2 linked regions of the Cricetulus griseus genome follow. The protein of the gene in region 1 purifies or fractionates together with the protein of each later gene. This does not show direct contact. Links are inferred from orthologs where the notes say so. Each region holds a gene or a part of one and is shown on either strand. Other genes may lie near its edges. The genes, in order: Vamp5 and Stx12.

The links.
Region 2: the proteins of Vamp5 (region 1) and Stx12 purify together in Homo sapiens (affinity purification with mass spectrometry; 3 studies listed by BioGRID and IntAct, with this or other methods). This does not show direct contact. The link is inferred for Cricetulus griseus from reciprocal best matches to the Homo sapiens genes VAMP5 and STX12.

What each region holds. Positions count from the first base shown.
Region 1 is NC_048601.1:64,109,793-64,114,190, reverse strand, and holds the start of Vamp5 (vesicle-associated membrane protein 5), read left to right. Parts: upstream 1-1,453; 5' UTR 1,454-1,596; coding exon 1,597-1,599; intron 1,600-4,398. UniProt on the Homo sapiens protein: May participate in trafficking events that are associated with myogenesis, such as myoblast fusion and/or GLUT4 trafficking.
Region 2 is NC_048595.1:20,401,288-20,405,098, forward strand, and holds part of Stx12 (syntaxin-12), read left to right. Parts: intron 1-3,263; coding exon 3,264-3,363; intron 3,364-3,811. UniProt on the Homo sapiens protein: SNARE promoting fusion of transport vesicles with target membranes. Together with SNARE STX6, promotes movement of vesicles from endosomes to the cell membrane, and may therefore function in the endocytic recycling pathway.

The sequences.
Region 1 (4,398 bases):
ATTTTGGTTTTCCGAGACAGGGTTTCTCTGTGTAGCTTTGGAGCCTATCCTGGCACTCGCTCTGGAGACCAGGCTGGCCTCGAACTCACAGAGATCCACCTGCCTCTGCCTCCCGAGTGCTGGGATTAACGGCCCAACACCCGGCAGTAATTTTTTTTAAATTACTTTTTCTTTAAATTATTTTTTTTCTTTTATGTGCAGAAATGCATCACTTGAATATGTGACTATGTACCACATTCATGATTGGTGCCCTTGGAGGCTAGAATAGGCATTAGATCCCCTGGAGCTGAATTATAGACAGCAGTGAGCAGAAATGAGGGTGATGAGAATTCAATCTGGGTCCTCTGGAGGAGCAGCCAGTGCTTTTAACTACTCAGCTAGCTCTCCGGTCCCACATTCTAGTCTTTGATTAAGCACTGGGCGATGGGCCAGTGAGATTAAGAAAGAGGACTGTTTGTTGGCTCCTCTTTAATTTTTCCCAGTTATGCAAGAAAAGCTGCAGTATCCTCATCATCACTCTGCTTCAAAATCTCCATCTTTCTGACCGGGGGAGAAGTCCCCATGGCCGGCATCAGGAATCTAAGGGGAAATTGTATGTTCTCAGGCTGGATAATCCCTGTTTGTTTTCCGACTGACTCCTAAACTCACACTATGAGGCTCTTCAGGGCCTGCCATGTAGTTTGTCTGTGTTTTATTCTCTGGGAAAGGGAGTCATTCTTTGCTTGAGTACTGCTCTGGAGGCTGGCTCAAATCTTCTCTTTTTCTTCCTCTGCCTCTTGCTGGTTCAAAACTTGGTCTGGCTGCTGTTGTCATCTTTTATTTCAGGCTGGGATCCATCCCAGCAACTTTAGAGGCTCATGCATCCACACACCACTGAGACTTTTAGCTCACAGGAATGTCGGCAGAATTTTAGCATTTAAAAAATCGCCCCCCCACCTCCTCCCACCCCGGTGTATGGAGGTCAGATAGACAACTTGCAGGAGTTGGTTCTCTCCACAATGTGAGTCCCAGGGATGGAACTCTGATAATGCAATAGATTTGGCTTCAAGTGCCTTTATCCACTGAACCATCTTGCCAGACCTCAATTTGTCTTTTTTAAGTGTACAACTTGGCGACATGTGATGTATTCAGAATACTGCCTGCTCCGTCTGAAAACAACCAGAACTTTGGAGTGGTTGATGTGTTTTCAGTTTTGGGTGGCATGCACTCACCAAGGTGGCAAGCACCCATCCTGGCATGTTCATGACATCCGGAGCACTTAGCACTCACAGATGCTTGTCGTATGACAGAATGACGCCTCCCTCGCTAACTCCTGTTGCAGTCCCAGATCCAAGAGACATCGGTCCCCAATTTACCAGGCTGGGGTGTCATCGGAAATCGGACGCTGGTGGCCCGGTAGGAGGCGCCCCACGGACCCTGTTGCTGCTTTCGGTTTGTCTGGGTCGGGCACCTCTCTGAGAAGGCGCCCCCCCTCCGCCCCCTTGGCCCGCGGGCCCGCCCCGCCCCGCGGCTTCCTCCAGGGCCGCGGGCACTGAGGCCACGCCGGGCAGAGGAGCCGGAGCCGGCAAGCAGGAGGTGGCGGTGGCTGCGGAGGCGATGGTGAGACGGGCAGGGGCAGAGGGCGATTATGCAGGGGTGTGATGTAGGAGCCCGAACCCCAGGGGTGCGGGTCACGCTGGTCGCATGAGCCAGACCCCAACTTTGCAGGCAGCCGGGAAAGGAGAATCAGAGTGCGCCCCGTCGGTGCGGAGTGAGCCGAGCTGCGCTTCCCACGCTCGTGCGGCAGTTAGCAGCTCCCGGCCATCCCGGGCAAGTCACTTAACCTCCATGAGCTTCCTTTTCCGTGCCATAAAGTAGGGGCAGCAATACCTACCTTAGTGGGTCCTTGAGAGGTTAGAGGAGATGTTTATGGTTGCTGCTGCCAGGCACTCAGAACCCTTTGCTAAGAAGTAGCAGGTAATGCGATGACCTCTGCGGGCTCTTCCCCGGGGGCTGAGAGAAGCCAGAGCTGGCCCAAGGGTTGGAAACCTGAGTAGATGCCTAGTGGAGGCCTCTCTAGGCTGGGTGCTGAAAGATAAACACTTTCCCCGGGGAAAGAGAAAATAAGTTGTTTACTATAAAAGTTTCATGAAATTATCAGTGTGACACAGGCTGACTCTTTCCTAACCTCTACCTAATGACATAATCCTGGCTTGAGTCACCTATACTCCTGCTGCAGACCTGCCATTTCTAAGGCAAAGGTGTCTGAGACCTCTGATGCCAGGATCCCCCTCCCCTGGGACTCCTGGGGAGATGGACCAGACTGAAAGCAAGTTTAGTACTCTAAGGCTGGATGGATGTGGCTTGGCTAGAGATGCCAATGTCTGGATGGCTTCATCTCTAGGGAACTAGAGGCAGGAAAGGGAAATGGGACAGGAAGGTAGCCCTAAGCTGTGAGGCCACACCAGGAAACTGAGGGAGGCTCTGAGAATGGGCTGGAGTTAAGAGCCCACTTCCGAGAGTGCAGGGTAAGAGCTGGGAGGAGATAGGGGGTGGACTTCCAGCTGGCCCTCAGCTCCTGGGGAGAAGTTCTGAAATGAAGGCGAGCTAGGCTAGTTATCTGACTGTACAGAACCTTGGGATGCTCACAGGTGCATTCCAGTCAAAGGGGGTTCCGAGCCTGGGGGATACATTGTTCCTCCAGCTCCATCAGCTAACTCTTCCTCCCTTCTTGTCCCCTTTTCTATCTCCAGCTCTTTCCCTTCCGTCATCCACCCCTCTGACTACCTAATTACTCCCACCCCTTTCCCCTTCCTTCTCTTCTCTGTGACTCATTGGGACAAAAAGGACACAGCATTTCTTTTGTGCCACTAGCACAGGACAAAGCAGTGATAGGGAAGATGGAAAGTGAGCAATCATTTTTGGCACGTGTACACGTGTTCTGTGCATGCTTATTCACATGTGTGGGCACACACATGTTTAGGTGCACATGGAAGTCCGAGGTTGATGTCCAGTGTCTTATTTAATAGCTCTCGGATTTATTTATGGAGACAGGGTCTCTGGCTGAACCTGGAGCTCACCAGCTTGTCTAGTCTAGCTGACCAGCTAGTCCTTGGGAGCCCCTGTTTTTGGCATCTTGAGCACTAGGATAACAAACAAACTGCTTGGATTTTGTGTGGGTGCTCAGGATTCAAATTCTGGTTCTCATGCTAGTGCAGTGGGAGCTTTATTTATGGAGCCATCTCCCTAGCACCATATATCGTTTTTTTAAAAAGATTTTATTGTGCTAGGTGGTGGTGGAGCATACCTTTAATCCCAGCACTCCAGAGGCAGAGGCAGGCAGATCTCTGTGAGTTCGAGGCCAGCCTGGGCTACAGAATGAGTGCCAGGACAGGCTCCAAAGCTACAAAGAAACAAGAAACCCTGTCTCGAAAAACAAAAAAAGCAACCAAAGATTTTATTGTATGTGTATGAATGTTTGCTCACATGTATGAATGTGCACCATGTACGTGAGTGCCTATGGAATCCAGAAGAGGGTGTTAGATCACCTCATACTGTAATTGTAGATGGCTGTGAGCTGGGAACTGAACCTAGGTCCTGTGGAAAAACAGCAAGTACTCTTAACCACTAAGCCATCTCTCCAGCCCCACTATAAATACTTTTAAAAATTACTATCTTGCTTGTTTGTTTTTTGGGAGACAACATCTTATAAAGCTGAGCCACCATGCCTGATTGGAATGAACTCTTTTGCTATAAAGCCCTTAAACTGCCTGTATAGACAAAGCTGTCCTTGAAGTTGCAGCAATGCTCTTGCTTCTACCTCCCAAGTGCTGGGATTACAATTATCTGACACCATGGACAGCTATAGAATAATTCTTTTTTGTTTTTGTTTTTTCTTGAGACAAGATCCCACTCTGTAGACTCAGCTGGCCTTGAACTCAGCCTACTGAGTTTTGGAATTAAATAGGTCCACAACTATGCTTAGCTGAAAATAATTCTTGAAGCCATTCATCTGGCAGAATTGGTGTGTGTAGTCGCAAGCTGAGTTGGCAGCATCAAGTGGCTGGCAGTCTTCAGCCAATCAGCTGGAGCTTCATACTCCCCTCTCTCTCCATATCTGGTTTAGCACAGGGTTTAGACTTGTGGCCCCTGGGTCTCTGACCATTCTACCCTCAGATTGGTTACCTACTGGCTCTGGACAACTTAACACCTCTGGGCTGTAAAACAGGGACAATAATATTGTCTTGAGTGGGTTCTTATGAAGATTTAGCCAGATGCCCACATGCACAGCTAGCTCAGTGCTGGGCAAGTTATGTGCTCACTGAAAGGTGGCTGTAACTATTGCTCAGGACTTAAGGCCTGTAATTCCAAAACTTGGGGGCAGAGACAGGAGGACCCCCAAGTCTCAGGCCAGGCTGG
Region 2 (3,811 bases), on another chromosome or scaffold:
AACTATTTCTTTTCTTCTCTTTGTGAGGTTTGCAGAGTAATTTAGGGAGGTAGAGAAGGAACTCTTCAGTTGTTTCAAGAAGCTGCATCAATGTTTCCCTGTCAATGACCCTCCTGTTGACACAGGACTCCTGACAATTTAGTCCAGTTGGATTTCCAACTCTAAATAAAAGAGACTCATTCTCACGGATGCAAAGTGACCATAAGTGAGAGAATAAATGGTCCAGTGGGAGAACTGATTTTTTGTTTTTGTTTTTGTTTTTTTTAAAGATCTTATTTATTACGTATACAACATTCTGCTTCCATGTATATCTGCACACCAGAAGAGGACACCAGATCTCATAATGGATGGTTGTGAGCCATCATGTGGTTGCTGGGAATTGAACTCAGGACCTCTGGAAGAGCAGTCAGTGCTCTTAACCTCTGAACCATCTCTCCAGCACAGTCACATTTTTCTTGACTTTATTTTTGCTTGTAAAGTTCTATTCTTGATCACTGGAGAGATGGTTCAGTGGTGAAGACATGGGTTCAGTTCCCAGCACTGAGATGGTGATTCACAACTGTCTATAGCTTCATTTTCATGGTATCCAACTCTCATTTCTGGCCTCTGTGGGCATTGCTCACATGTAGTGCACAGGCATGCATGCAGGCAAATCACCCATATACGTAAAATAATAAAGTAAAAATTTTATTCTCTGGGGCCAGCAGGATGGTTCAGCAAGTAAAGAAAAGTGCTTGCCATCAAGCCAGGGATCTGAGTTTGATTTTTGTAACTTATATAGTAGAAGGAAAAATCTAACTCTGGAAAGTTATTTCTAATGTCAGCATATTTCACATGCATCATGGCACCCCTGTGCCCACAAGCATACACACACACAAATGCACACACAGATAATAAACAAAAGTAATTTTTTAAAGTTTGATATGTGTGTGTGTGTATATATGTACATATGTTTATTTATTTTTTTCCCAAGACAAGGTCTCAGGCTGTCCTCAAACTCACAGAGATCTGCCTGCCTCTCCCTAGTGCTGGGATTAAAGGTGTGTGCCACCATCAGGTTCTCTATCTTTAAAGTCAACTGAGCTACATTACTCGTTTCCACTCTTAGACGCTGTGAAGTGAGAGAGTGACTGCTGTCACAGGGAGCAAATTCAGGGAGAGATGACCTGTCTGCATATGCTAGTGTTTCTGGGATGGTCTGGCTTCCTCTGCTGTCTCTCATGTTTTCTAATCCTAGCTGTCTACTTAAAGTGAAAAAAACGATGTGGTATCCCAGCCATTAAGGCTGCTGCAGTAATAGACCATAGACTAGATAGTTCATTAGCAAGCAAAATTTATTTCTTATAGTTCTCAAGGCTGAGGGGTGGTTGATCAAGGCTCTGGCATATACAGTGTCTAATGAGGGCCCTCTTTTTCATAGATAACATTTGGTTTTTGTTTTCCTTTTGGAATGGTCTTACTATCCTGCAGATCCATCTGCCTCAGTTACCTTAGTGCTGGGATTAAATGAGTATGTCCTTATGCTAGGCAGCTGATGCTTTCTTTTGGGGGGAGGGGAGACTGGTTTTGAGACAGGGTTTCTCTGTGGCTTTGGAGCCTGGCCTGGAACTCTGTAGACCAGGCTGGCCTTGAACTCACAGAGATCCTCCTGCCTCTGCCTCCTGAGTGCTGGGATTAAAGTGAGCGCCACCAAGGCCCAGCTAGTTGATGCTTTCTTATTGTATCCTCTCTTGGTGGAAGAGGTAAGTAGTTAGTTCTCTGGTGCCTCGTAAGGGGAATTAATGCTTTCACAAAAGGCCCACACATGCTAATCACTTTCTACTACCTCCTAATAACATCACTTGGGGGCTAGTATTTCAACATGAATTCAGACCATAGCCTATGACTTCTCTGTCACCCCTTAAAATCTTTGTAGAAATGGCCAGAGATTAGAGGAAACCATGATGGGAAGAACTTTTTATTTATTTATTATTTCTAAAGTATCACTTTTTTTTTTTCTTAGGGTTTCTCTGTAATTTTGGAGCCTGTCCTGCAACTTGCTCTGTAGACCAGGCTGGCCTCGAACTCACAAAGATCTGCCTGCCTCTGTTTCCCAATTGCTGGTTATCAAAGACGTGCACCACCACCGCCTGGCTCCATAGCATGACTTATATTTTATGTTCTTCCCTCTTGAATTTGCTTCTCTCTCCTTCCTTCCTTCTATCCTAGTATGTTGCAAACTGCTGGATTCAAATGCTGCTCCTATACCAGCCTCAGAGGAGCTGGGACTAGTGGTGAAGGCCACTGTACCCAGCATCGAGCTTCTTTATGTGTATTTTTTTATTGTGATTTTTTTTTTTTTTTTTTTTTGGTGTTAGATATTGAGCCCAGTATCTGGCACAAGAGGTAAGTGTTCTAAACAGCAGAGGGAAAAGCTATCAGGCATAAAATCCACTTTATTTATTTATTTATTTTGGTTTTTTGAGACAGGGTTTCTCTGTGTAGCTTTGGAGCCTATCCTGGCACTCGCTCTGGAAACCAGGCTGGCCTCGAACTCACAGAGATCTGCCTGCCTCTGCCTCCCGAGTGCTGGGATTAAAAGCGTGCACCACCAATGCCCGGCTCACTTTTTTTTTTTTTAAAGATTTATTTATTATGTATACAATCTTCTGCCTGCATGTCTGCCTGTTGGCCAGAAGAGGGCACCATATCTCGTAACAGATGGTTGTGAACCACTATGTGGTTTCTGGGAATTGAACTCAGGACCTCTGGAAGAGCAGTCAGTGCTTTAAATCTCTGAGCCATCTCTCCAGCCCCAGAAAGAACCCACTTTTGGACAAGAGATTAGGAATAGATCTTTGGAGTTTTTTTTCTAGGTATATAGGAAGCTGTTTCATGTAACCACCCTAGTCAGTGGACTATGGTAGGAACTGACCATGCAGAGCTCCTGGGGAGTGGTGAGACGTTTAAGTGAGTTCAGTGTATTAAAGCCATTAGGACTGGATGTAGGTAGTAATTACTCCTGTGTTTCTATCAGAATGCCGACATGCTTTTCTTCCCAAACAGCTGAAATTCCTGGCCTGTGCTTCCTTCAGCAGGTGTCATTGAGCATCTTTCTGCTCAGTGGAACTGCTTCAGTAATGAGGGTTTGTGAGCACAGGCATTGAAGCGCCTGTTTGAATGGCCCTCCCTTCCTTCCTTGCGCTGGGAGTCCCCGAGCGTGAAGTAATAGTGTGAGAGCTCTCGAGAAGCCATGGCATCCTGACACTTGTCTTCTCTCTTAGGCAACAGTTACAGCACTCCACAAATCAGCTCGCCAAGGAGACAAATGAGTTGCTAAAGGAATTAGGGTCTTTGCCCCTACCCTTGTCTGCATCAGAGCAGGTAGGTATCTTCTGTTTTGTTTATTAATAGAAAAGGACTTTATTCTGATAGAGTAGTGGGATGTGGAACAAAAGCTCTAGGAGGGCTCTGGTCTTGATAGATTTCTTTGAACTATAATTTCCTTACCACGTGCTTTAGTTTCAGTTCTGTTGTGATAAACTACTACAACAAAAAGCAACCTAAAGGAAAAGGTTTGGTTTTTTGTTTGTTTTGTTTTGTTGGTTTTTTTTTAGTTCACAATTCCAGGTTACAGTCTATTGTGGGAAAATCAAGGTAGCAGAACTTGAAGGCACTGGTCACATCTCATCCGCAGTCGAAGGAGAGAGAAATGAGTGCTTGCTTGTTCTTTTCCACATGTGTGCCCAGCTCTGCTTCTCCACCCTCCCACAGTTCACGATCTCCTGCCTAGGAAGTGATGCTGCCTACGGTGGGTTGGGTCCTCCTACAC